Linked DNA regions of Arabidopsis thaliana. The protein of the gene in region 2 interacts with the protein of the main gene of each other region in a pairwise test. Each region holds a gene or a part of one and is shown on either strand. Other genes may lie near its edges.

Evidence for each region.
Region 1: the proteins of PUT1 (region 2) and GDU4 interact in a protein complementation assay, tested with the Arabidopsis thaliana proteins (one large-scale study listed by BioGRID).
Region 3: the proteins of PUT1 (region 2) and AT2G20780 interact in a protein complementation assay, tested with the Arabidopsis thaliana proteins (one large-scale study listed by BioGRID).

The regions. Positions count from the first base shown.
Region 1 is NC_003071.7:10,557,497-10,560,861, reverse strand, and holds GDU4 (glutamine dumper 4), read right to left. Parts: upstream 1,690-3,365; 5' UTR 1,384-1,689; coding exon 913-1,383; 3' UTR 623-912; downstream 1-622. UniProt on the Arabidopsis thaliana protein: Probable subunit of an amino acid transporter involved in the regulation of the amino acid metabolism. Stimulates amino acid export by activating nonselective amino acid facilitators.
Region 2 is NC_003070.9:11,415,896-11,420,342, reverse strand, and holds PUT1 (Amino acid permease family protein), read left to right. Parts: upstream 1-1,878; 5' UTR 1,879-2,076; intron 2,077-2,177; 5' UTR 2,178-2,203; coding exon 2,204-3,652; 3' UTR 3,653-3,892; downstream 3,893-4,447. Other genes in the region: PUT2 (Amino acid permease family protein), read left to right, coding at 1-1,468; NFD3 (Ribosomal L18p/L5e family protein), read left to right, coding at 3,987-4,098.
Region 3 is NC_003071.7:8,946,670-8,951,126, forward strand, and holds AT2G20780 (Major facilitator superfamily protein), read right to left. Parts: upstream 2,761-4,457; 5' UTR 2,502-2,760; coding exon 2,288-2,501; coding exon of another isoform or gene 2,225-2,287; intron 2,194-2,224; coding exon 827-2,193; 3' UTR 573-826; downstream 1-572. Other genes in the region: GCL2 (GCR2-like 2), read left to right, coding at 34-372; AT2G20784 (uncharacterized protein), read left to right, coding at 2,952-3,107; AT2G20790 (clathrin adaptor complexes medium subunit family protein), read right to left, coding at 3,493-3,558, 3,670-3,717, 3,801-3,857, 3,932-4,457. UniProt on the Arabidopsis thaliana protein: Plasma membrane sugar-proton symporter.

The DNA.
Region 1 (3,365 bases), on a different chromosome or scaffold from region 2:
AATCGAATTATCTTTTGATTTATACCATAATATGTGTTTCCAATTTTTGTTTAATGAAAAAAAGAATATGATTCCTTTTCTTGTGACAAGACTAACTCACGCACATATTTTCGAATATTACGAATGTAAGTTCATAGTTAATAGTAATACTATTTCCAGTTTATTCACTCGTTATATAACAAGTATAGTTAAACAAGTATAGTTAAAATTTGACGGTGAACTAGATGGAGTCTCAATTAATTTAAAATATCCAAGTTGATAGCAAATTCAGAACTATCCTATGGTAAATAAAATATATAAATGCAAGGAAAATATGAAAGTAACACAAATACATGGAGGAGACACAATTATAACAATTCATAATTAAAGTAACTAAACGAATCTCCTTACAAAATATAAAATGTGAGAATATATACGTAATACAAAAGGGTTAATGCATTACATTAGTTTCTGAAAATGTATATAAAATTACAGTTTGTGTACGGGATGAATCACGTTTCCATCGAAACATTGCAAGCTTTGAATTTATGATCAATAGTGTTATGATACTTTTTTTTTTTTTTTTGGGCAAACATAGTGTTATGATACTATGATTCATTTTTTTGTAGATCTTAGTGATGACATAAAATTGTAAGAATTTTAAGTACTATTATGTTATTCCGTTTTAGTTTACTCTATTACTGATTGGTATTAAAGCTGTATGAGAAAGGTTACCTATCACACTTTTGAGAATTACAAAAACTAAAAACGAGTTTTCCACCATTGGGGATAGGAAATTACAAGCAAACATTCATTAATCATAACCCAAAATTTTCTCTCAGTAAATTTTACATTTCCCGTGAAAACACGAAGGAAAATTCCCCAACAAAAAAAAAAAGACAAGACTGAGAGAAGAAAAGAAAACAAAAAAGCTCACTGACTCGTTGTTTCTTCATTTTCTTTGGCTTTCTCTCTGTCTCCCATTTTCTCCTCTCCAGCACCAATACCATCCTCCTTGAAAATTACCATTCTACCCTCGTGACCGCACATGCATTTGTTCGCCGCCGGCGTGGCCAGAAACCTCGGCAAGTCATCTCCGGCCATTATGACAAGAACCTTCTCCTCGCACGCCGCGCTAGCCGCCTTCACTCCAGACCGACTCTCTTTTTCCTCGTCGACTCTTTCGCCGGAGTCATCACCGGAGGTTGACAAGCGCCAGTAAGAGCAGGCTAGGATAAGTAAAGCGAAGGCTATGAGGCCTAACATCGCCGCAAGACCACCGAATAGGTACGGCACCGGTGAGTGCCACGGCGATATCGGCGGTCGGTGATTCCCAAATGATTCTACTGATGTGGCATGTCTAGCTACATCTAACGATGTTGGTTTAATGCTCAATGGCCTCATTTTTTTTATGTTTCTTCTGTTTCTCTCAGATTTTTTCTAACTATTTTGTTTTTTTTGTTTTTCTAACTTTATATAAAGGAAAAAGTGAAGAAAGCTGGAAAGATGAATGAAACAATGGGTGTGGTGAGGTGTTATATTTATAGGTAAGAAGTCCCTGGGGAAAAAGAAAGTGAGTCACTCCGAATATTTAATTATTTGAATTAAAGCAGCTTTTTTTTTCATTTGCCGTTTATTACTTTTTAGTTTTGCCGCATATATTTGCATGCAATATTATGTACTCAAACTTACTTTGTTATAGACACATATATATGTTAAGGTGCTTGTTTTTTTAAAGAAAGATAGCGAACATTAATTACACAAATTTAAACTAGACACGATAAATTAAATTTTAGTATCTTTAAGAAACTACACTAAAAAAAACTTGAAAAATGCCTACAAGAACTACCGCAGATTGGTTTAAAATTTTTGCTTAACGGTTGTTGAAAAATATATAAATGGTGATTTTTAAAATCAAAAAAAGGATATCAATCATAATATTTACCAATAAATTTGAAACCATATGAACTTTGACATCAATCAACTACACAAACTACAATAATTGGGTATTAGACTTATAAGTCTTATATCCAATAATATGTCAGTGATAGCATGATATCGAGAAAGTTTTTGGAAAGACAAGGGGTTTCCTCTTGATGACTCTAAGATACTTTAAGCCAAATAGATCAATTTAGATAGATGAATAGTTTGGTTTCTGGAAGTGACAGAGGAATGAGAGTGAGAGATGGATTCCAAGACCCCTTACTCTCAGTTCTAATTTATGGCACGATATCTATCTTCTTGTGAGGACACACTATGATGCCTAATGGGGATTTTATTTTTTTGGGATCCCGCAAATTGGGAATCCAACTTCTCTCTTTCTTTTTGGATGAAGAAATTTTCTATCTCTCAATTTTTCTATATCTAAAAGTATTATAAAGTCTATCACTTAATATTTGTCATGTTATAGGTTTTAAATGGTAACACATTCTCAAAGCGATATAACTTGTACTATTTTGAGAGTTATCATTCGCAAAAATTAACTTTATCAAAAACATTACAAAAAGTTTTACTCTTAACTTTACTGTACAGCTTTCTCGTATAATTCTTTTGTACAACTTTGCACTATTCCAAAAAAAGTTTTGGTTATAGCTAACAGCTAAAATTTTGTACAGTTTTGTGTTACCAATCGGACTTATATAAAATAAAATAATCTCGAGTAGTCCAAACACAATTTTCAACTTAACATATCACCAAACTTTGCTTGAATTCAATAATTCTCCTTTTTTTTTTGCAAAGTAAATTATTTAATGTTTTACAATAATAATGAATATTAAAATCTGCACCATAACACATGGCTTAAAAAAAATCATGACTTAATATCGGTAGAATATTGTTAGTCATTATTGTTTAGAAAAACATATTTAGGGCAATAAAGATTTGGAATTGTTAGTTATAAAAGACTAACAAATTCAAAAATTTATTACCCTAAATATATATTTTGAATTATTTTAATTATTACAAATAAATTGATTTGATATTAAAATATATATGTTTTTGATTAATTGTTATTAATTTAAGAAAGTTAATTTAGTAATTTTACATATTAAAAATATATTTTTAAAAGAAAAATAAAGAAAAAAAATTTCAAAAGTGCAAATAAAAGTCATATGTGGGATTTTTTTTTTTTTTTTTTTCCAATTGTTACTATCACACCAACTACCGTGCACCAGGTGCACTACCTCAATAATCCATAAAGCTGTCATCATATTAAAATGTAGTGATCAGGTGCAAATTTGTGCCCCAAATGTTATAAACTTTTTCTTTTCTTTTTGTTAAAAGAATTAAGTTTATATTTTTTCACAGGTTCCATTTTAAAGGACCATGTCTGTTTTTCAAACTAAATTCTTACAAATATATAAGAAAGCATATTTTGGAATCATCTA
Region 2 (4,447 bases):
CACTGTGAACCCCTCCGCGTCTATTGAGATGAGTCAGTACGAGAATAATGAAGTTCCTTACTCAAGTGTCGGTGCTGATGAGGTTCCATCATCACCGCCTAAAGCTACCGATAAGATTCGGAAAGTTTCCATGTTGCCACTTGTTTTCCTCATATTCTATGAAGTCTCAGGAGGTCCTTTTGGTGTAGAGGATAGTGTGAATGCAGCAGGACCATTATTAGCTCTTCTAGGGTTTGTGATCTTTCCTTTCATTTGGAGTATCCCTGAGGCTTTGATTACTGCGGAGATGGGAACAATGTATCCCGAGAATGGTGGTTATGTTGTGTGGGTTTCCTCTGCTTTGGGACCTTTTTGGGGGTTTCAGCAAGGTTGGATGAAATGGCTTAGTGGTGTTATTGATAACGCTTTGTATCCTGTTCTGTTTCTTGACTATTTGAAGTCTGGAGTCCCGGCTTTAGGTAGCGGTTTACCGAGAGTTGCATCGATCTTGGTGCTGACTATTTTGTTGACGTATCTGAACTACAGGGGACTAACTATAGTTGGTTGGGTTGCTGTGCTTATGGGAGTTTTCTCCATCCTTCCGTTTGCTGTGATGGGTTTGATTTCGATTCCGCAGCTAGAGCCTTCGAGATGGCTTGTGATGGACTTAGGGAATGTGAACTGGAATTTGTATCTTAACACGCTTTTCTGGAATCTAAACTATTGGGACTCGATTAGTACACTAGCTGGTGAAGTTGAAAACCCCAACCATACACTTCCAAAGGCTTTGTTTTATGGTGTGATCTTAGTTGCTTGTTCTTACATCTTCCCTCTTTTGGCTGGAATCGGGGCAATCCCGCTAGAGCGTGAGAAATGGACAGATGGGTATTTTTCTGATGTGGCCAAAGCTCTTGGTGGAGCGTGGTTGAGATGGTGGGTTCAAGCGGCTGCAGCTACATCAAACATGGGAATGTTTATAGCCGAGATGAGTAGTGACTCTTTTCAGCTTCTCGGAATGGCTGAGCGCGGTATGCTTCCCGAGTTCTTTGCCAAAAGGTCACGTTACGGGACACCTTTACTAGGGATTCTGTTTTCAGCGTCAGGTGTTGTTCTCTTGTCTTGGCTAAGCTTTCAAGAGATTGTAGCTGCAGAGAACTTACTCTACTGCGTTGGTATGATCTTAGAGTTTATAGCGTTTGTTAGAATGAGAATGAAACACCCTGCTGCATCAAGACCGTACAAGATACCTATTGGAACCACAGGTTCGATCCTCATGTGTATTCCTCCAACCATACTGATCTGTGCTGTTGTAGCACTCTCGTCTCTTAAAGTAGCTGCAGTGAGCATTGTGATGATGATCATTGGTTTCCTGATACATCCTTTACTGAACCATATGGATCGAAAGAGATGGGTCAAATTCTCCATCAGTTCTGACTTACCGGACCTTCAACAGCAGACTCGGGAATACGAAGAAACTCTAATACGTTAAGAATGTCCTTAGTTATTTCCCTCGTCTATGTTAAGTACAGAGCTTGGAAGCTATAGCCAAAAAAGCTTAATTTCTCATAGTCTGTACTCTGTTTTATTCACAGCTTGTTCTAAAGTTGTAGTTTTTTCGTAAAGTTAGGTCATCGTTAGCACGGTTCCAATAAAATGTGCAATGTTTGTATCTCTGTTATGTTTTTGTCGTTGCCATTGTCGATTTGAAACATGGCTTTGGAAATTTGAAGTCTTTGAACAAAACCTTCGATCAAAGTCTGGTCAACAGTTGCAAAGCTTGGATCTTTGGATAAGTTTTCATCACCAATGATTGGAAAGAGAGAAAAAACCCTCACAAAACCCCAAAAAGCAGTATCAGTGTTTGACACGCAAACAAAATCGCTATAGTCTCAATTGATCGGAGGTTCTATCACCATCGTCTCCATCTGCATAATTTATTAAATATTTAGGACTTGTCATTGATATGGACACTCTCAAAACAGAGAACCACAATTTCTTCAATCCTTTCCAGGATATGACAAGTACAACGATATGGGTGAGTTTTGTTTTCTTCTTAAAGCATCGCTCAATCTTCAGACAACCCTAGATTCTCTCACGGTTTGTACTTCTTTACCTCTCGTAAATGTTTAGACTTTCGTATAAGGATCCAAGAATTTATCTGATTGTTTTTTTTTCTTTGTTTCTTTGTGTTGATTCAGAAGGGAAGTATCATTAGTTCATTACCATGGGAGACTATAACATGAATGAATTTGCTTATGGTAATCTTTACGATGATGATGATGGCGATGTTGGTGGATCGTCTAAAGAAGGAAACAATTCGATTCAGAAAGTTTCAATGTTACCACTCGTTTTCCTCATATTCTACGAAGTCTCAGGAGGTCCTTTCGGTGCTGAAGGTAGTGTGAATGCAGCAGGACCATTGTTAGCTCTTTTAGGGTTTGTGATCTTCCCTTTCATTTGGTGTATCCCTGAGGCACTAATCACTGCGGAGATGAGTACAATGTTTCCAATAAACGGCGGTTTTGTTGTTTGGGTCTCCTCTGCTTTGGGAACCTTTTGGGGGTTTCAAGTAGGTTGGATGAAATGGCTTTGCGGTGTTATTGATAACGCTTTGTATCCTGTTCTTTTCCTCGATTATTTGAAGTCCGCGGTCCCGGCTTTAGCTACTGGTTTGCCAAGAGTTGCATCGATCTTGATCTTGACTCTATTGCTTACTTACTTAAACTATAGAGGACTAACCATTGTTGGTTGGACCGCTGTGTTTATGGGAGTTTTCTCTATGCTTCCGTTTGCTGTAATGAGTCTGGTTTCTATTCCGCAGCTCGAGCCTTCGAGATGGCTTGTGATGGATTTAGGAAATGTCAACTGGAACTTGTATCTCAACACGCTTTTATGGAATCTGAACTACTGGGATTCGGTTAGTACACTGGCCGGTGAAGTGGCAAATCCGAAGAAAACACTTCCTAAGGCTTTGTGTTACGGTGTTATCTTTGTCGCTCTTTCGAACTTCCTCCCTCTTTTGTCTGGAACCGGGGCTATACCGTTGGATCGTGAGTTATGGACAGATGGATATCTAGCTGAGGTTGCTAAAGCCATCGGTGGAGGATGGTTACAATTGTGGGTTCAAGCGGCTGCAGCTACATCAAACATGGGAATGTTTTTAGCCGAAATGAGTAGTGATTCCTTTCAGCTACTTGGAATGGCTGAACTCGGTATACTTCCCGAGATCTTTGCGCAAAGATCTCGCTACGGGACACCTTTACTAGGGATTCTGTTTTCAGCCTCAGGTGTTTTACTCTTGTCAGGATTAAGCTTTCAAGAGATTATAGCTGCAGAGAATTTGCTTTACTGTGGTGGAATGATTTTGGAGTTTATAGCATTTGTTAGACTGAGGAAGAAACATCCGGCTGCATCGAGACCGTATAAGATACCTGTTGGAACCGTTGGTTCGATTCTGATATGTGTCCCTCCGATTGTACTGATATGTTTGGTTATTGTTCTATCTACTATTAAAGTGGCTCTTGTGAGCTTTGTGATGGTGGTCATTGGTTTCTTGATGAAACCTTGTTTAAATCATATGGATGGAAAGAAATGGGTCAAATTCTCAGTCTGTTCTGATTTGGCAGAGTTTCAGAAGGAGAATTTGGATTGTGAAGAGTCTTTGTTACGTTAGGGATACAAAGGTAAAAAAGCTTGGAACCTATAGTCAAACTCAAACAAACTGTATATCTTTCTGCTCGTTTTTTACTTTTTGTTCAAATTCTTTGTTCTCTGTTTAAGATCATAAGCACAAGAAGATATGTGTAAATGTTGTATCATTCAGTTTTTCTTTTGAAATGAAACCCATTGGTGATAGCCCAATACGTTTATGGAGGCCCATGAGAGCCCAATAAGTAATACAAAATTCATTTGTAGATCTACCGTTTATGTACGATGTGATCGAGATGCTCACAAATGTTTGAAAGAAGAAAAAACCCTAAACCCCCAAAATTTGCTTCGAGAAGAAAATGAATGGTGTCTCTCGTCATCTTCGAGCTTCTTCACTTCTTTCATTAATTCGCAGCTATGGTGGAATCAATTCGGTCTGTCGATTTTCGTCTCAATCTGATGGCTTCTCTGGTTCGTCATTTCCCATTTTTATCTCTCCCGATCCATATTTTGCTTCTTCAATTTTGAGTTATGACCCAGAACTATGATTGAATCGAGAACAATTTTCTTCTGGGTTTGATCTGATTTATGCATTTGAGTTGTACAATCAATATTTTGGATTTGGCGTTTAAGTTTTCCACTATCGTCAAGTGATGTTGTCCTCCATGAAAATGTGTAATTTCGTTATTAGGTATTGTTCAGGATTCTAACCTTTGCCTAGAAGTACAGAACGAGGATTTGAATCAATTAGTCTCAAGGATCAGCTTCTTATGGCTCTTTAACAATTTGCTGTATTCAGAAATTAGGCAATTATTGCAAT
Region 3 (4,457 bases), on a different chromosome or scaffold from region 2:
AGTTGATCTCTGGGAAATGAAAACAAAACTCAGGTTTTTGGGGAGAGAGAGTTTCTGGAAGCGAGTGCAGCTGCAGCAGAGGTGGTTTGGAACCGTGGATTGCTCAAGCGCGTGGGGATCTGTCATGGAATAAGTGGGAACGCATATGTTTTTCTTGCGCTTTACAGAGCTACGGGAAGGAGTGAGTATCTATACCGTGCAAAAGCCTTTGCCAGTTTCCTGCTTGATAGAGGCCCCAAGTTACTCTCAAAAGGAGAAATGCATGGAGGTGATAGTCCTTATTCCTTGTTTGAAGGCGTTGCAGGCATGGCCTATCTCTTCCTTGACATGGTCGACCCATCTGAAGCCAGGTTCCCAGGTTACGAGCTTTAAACTTCTTGATCGATAACAATCTCCGTCCATCAAATCCTTCTCTCTTGTTATGGAGGATGCACAAGGTAAGAGAGGGTGTGAGTGTATGTGTGTTTAGTACTAGCAAAATCTTCTTGTTGTTTGATGGTGAATAAGTTTGAGTTGATATATAGCCGAACTGTCCGGAGAGCCTGTAACTTTATGAGTGTTAGAAGGAGAGTGTGAAACATGAAGTGAACACAAAGGTTCTGTCATTTCTGTATATATTGTCTTTTGAGTTGAGTATCACATGGTTTCTTCTTGAAACAAGGAACAAAAAAACAGAGCAGTTGGTTTCTTTGGAATATGCACTGGGTCTATACCATCATCAAACGCACTTACAAAATCTATCTTACGTTCTTTGGATCTAATGCAAGAACAGAACACCATAAGAGTATCTTTTCACTTCTGCCTCTTCTACTTTAACATGATCAATTCAAAACTCCTGTTCCTTGCGCACAAGACGCTCAGCATCTCCAAGCTCAACTTCACCGTCTTTTCTTTCCAGCCCACCCTGAAACATCAACTCTATCTGCTCCAGTGACTTCCCGCTTGTCTCGGGGACTAGCACATACACGAAGATAACTGAGAGTGCAGACACGAGGGAGAAAACGAAGAAGGTTCCTCCAACAGTGATGGCACGTGACACAGAGAGGAAGGACATGGCCACCAGACCGCTGCACACCCTGTTCCCAACCGCCCCAAGCGCAGATGCCTGGGCTCTTAATCGTAATGGAAAGATCTCTGATGTCAAGACCCAGCAAACAGGTCCCATTCCTATGGAGAAGAAGGCAACGTTTCCACAAACAAAGAGAAGCGCCAAGGTTATCCCAAGCGTTCCTTGGCCGAGGAATGTGAGCGTAAAGCTTAGACAAAAGAGACACAGAGTCATTCCTATTGTGCTCACATAAAGCAGCGGTTTCCGGCCAACACTATCAATCAGGAAGGTGGCAAATAGTATGAACACTGTTTTCGTGACACCAACAGCGACAGTTGCAGCGAGCAGTTTGGTCTCGTCTTGTATCCCAGCCTCTTTCAGGATCTCTGGACTATAGTAGACTGTGGCGTCAATTCCTGTGATCTGCTGGAAACACTGGATTCCAAATCCAACAATCAGCATTTTCCGTACAACAGGAGATGGGCTAAGAAGCTCACGCCACACGGGCCTGTCCTCGCTGCCTTCTGTATGTGCAGCCGCCAGTTGTATCTCTGCAAGCCGCTCTTCCGCTTCGTCATCTCGCTCATTCGTTTTCATGAGCACCTCTCGTGCACTGTCCACTCGGCCTTTCATCACCAGCCACCTCGGCGACTCAGGGATCACACACAGCGCAAATCCTATGAACACCGAAGGAAGAATCCCAACTGCAAGCATGATCCTCCAGCTGATATGCACGGAAAGCCCCGAGAAAGCGTAGTTCGAAACATAGCCCAGCAAGATCCCTAGATTTATGAAGATCTCAGGGAACGAAGTGAAAAATCCTCTAGCTACGGTGGGGGATATCTCGGCGATGTAGACAGGAGCGATCATGACACCAAGCCCAATCCCAATGCCGGCTAAAGTTCTCCCTATCATCAAAACCTCGAAAGACGGAGCGACAGCCATCACGGCAGCACCAGTCTGGAAGACGAGAGCAGCCAAGGCCATGGTCCATTTTCTACCGATAGAGTCAGAGGTTCTGCCGCCGGCTAAGCTGCCAAAGAGTGAGATGATGCTAAGGCTACCAATGAGCACTTCCGTCTGCACCTCCGTTATTTTGAGATCCTGCTGTATGAACAACACCGCACCGCTCATTACCCCAACATCTGACAAATACCAAAAACAGAGCACACATACCTTTTTGTAAGTCAACAAAGTAAAGAAGAAGAAGAAGAATCCGATTATATAAGTAAAACCGACCGTAGCCGAGAAGAACATTGTTCAAGGATGCAAAAAAGGCACAAGCCATAACGTATTTTCTGGTTCTACTGTTTCTAGCCTCTGCTTCACGATGATTCTGCGATTCCTCCGCGTCGGAGTCCATTCTCTGATACTTATTCTTCTTATTTCCGACAGAGACCGCCGGAAAACCCGAGCCACCGCCATTACCAACCTCCGGAAGATTCTTCATCATCTCCCTCCGCCGAGGCTTCAGACAGCAGACTCAGGTGGTGTCTGTTTTCGGAAAAAAAGAGAATTCAGACAACGACTTGAGGAAGAAAGTCGTAGATCTCGGAAGAAGGGCTTTAGATGACCAGATCTGAACCGGAGAGACTTCTTAGAAATCTCATCGTCTCTATTTGACCAAATTGGTGGAATTTTCTAATGAGGTAATCCAATTTTCAAAAGACAACTTGACTCCTTCCATTAACATTACGTTTCAAGAAATAGGATTTTTTTTCTTTTCTTAAAGCGTAAAAAAAGTTGGAAAGATATTTAAGAACTTATTAAATTAAGATAGATTAGAGTTTTCAAGGTAATAACAGCTCATCTGTTAGCTTAGCACACACTCTTAAAAGGCATGAAAACATTTATTGAAAACTAAATAAATCAGGGTTTCGAGTTTGGACAGTTAACCTTTATTATGAAAAAAATGGAATTAACCTCCAATGGCAGCTTGCTCCCTATGAATGAGATCTGTCGGTGGTTATTCCAAGCTCATTGGAACTACAGAGACAGTGTCATTGACGTGGCAACAACAATCTTTAAATTGATTGATATTTTTCTTCTAATTTTGTAATTTCATAAAATACAGACCTCATATTGCTGCAAACCTTGGATTATAATCTCCTTTATGAGCTGGATATATACTATATCTAGATAGCATTCTCTATATAGAGCAATTTCTTTCTTAGGCTTGTAGACTAATTATGAAACAGTGGCAACTTCATGAACACAACCACCTTACGAGTTTTATTATCACATGTTCCATTCCAGACAGATTTGCAACTAAAACAACATTCATCTTTCTTTATCTCTCAAGAAACAACAATAATGTACAGATACACTTCCGCTGTAAAAATCAAACTGCTCATTCATACGTTTAATGCTTTCAAACTCAAACAAATAAATCACTTCCTTGGGATGGGAAAATACAATACCAGTGAGGCTGCGACTTGGGGAAATCACACGACGGCTGCTGATGGAGCTTTCCCCAATGTGTTCCACAATATATAATCCCCTGAAGTCACCTGTTTACGCACATATCATGTAGAGCGCCTTTAGAGTTTTATCCAATCCGGTTCAAACGTTTCCTGTGCACTTCAATATTTATACACTATATATTGTTGGCAGTGTCTTACCTGAGCAGAAAACTCAACCGGTGACTTTGTGGTTGGGTAGATATTGACCTAGTAAAACAAAAGGAGGCCATAATAAGTCGATAATATGGGCTAACACTGTTAACTAATCATTGCAAGTTGCGAAAGCTTACTGATTTTGTGTCGATTGACATTCGAGATACAGATGCCCCGACAATCTTGAACGAGACCTGTAAACCAGAAGATAGATTTGAACAACAACCAAGTCCAAAAGATTTCAAAAGGAAGCCAAAGACATACATACCTTGGCATAGTCATAGGCTTGCCAGCAGAACGGTTCCTCCAACTCAGCTGCTGGGAGATCCTTGTTCATTTTCTGCACCAAGAAGTCCTCCACGTTCACCACATTCTCAGCGCTCTCATCCTCACTCTCTTCATCATCCCCATCCCCTTTTCTTCTGCTCTGCAATGGACTAAACTTGATTGTCCCAGGGAAAGTTGCCTCAAGGCTTTTCCCAGAAAGACTACGTCCGCTGCCCAGAATCCTCCACTCAACAGAGTGTTCTGTGGTTAAAACAGTCCCAGCTGACGGAGTCCCATCAAATGCCACTATCCGTCTCCGTGGAAAGGGCATAGTAATAGTGCAAAATTCCATTGACAGAGGAGCCTTGTAACCTTCCATGAGGTGCACCTTGAAGAGGAATGCACCCTCGTCTTCTGAAACCATTGATAGCTGATAGAACCCTTTCACTGGTGGTCCGAGTCCACAACCTGCCTGGTATCGCATGAGAACAAAGTTACCCAAGGGAGGCTGGAAAACAATGTTCTGC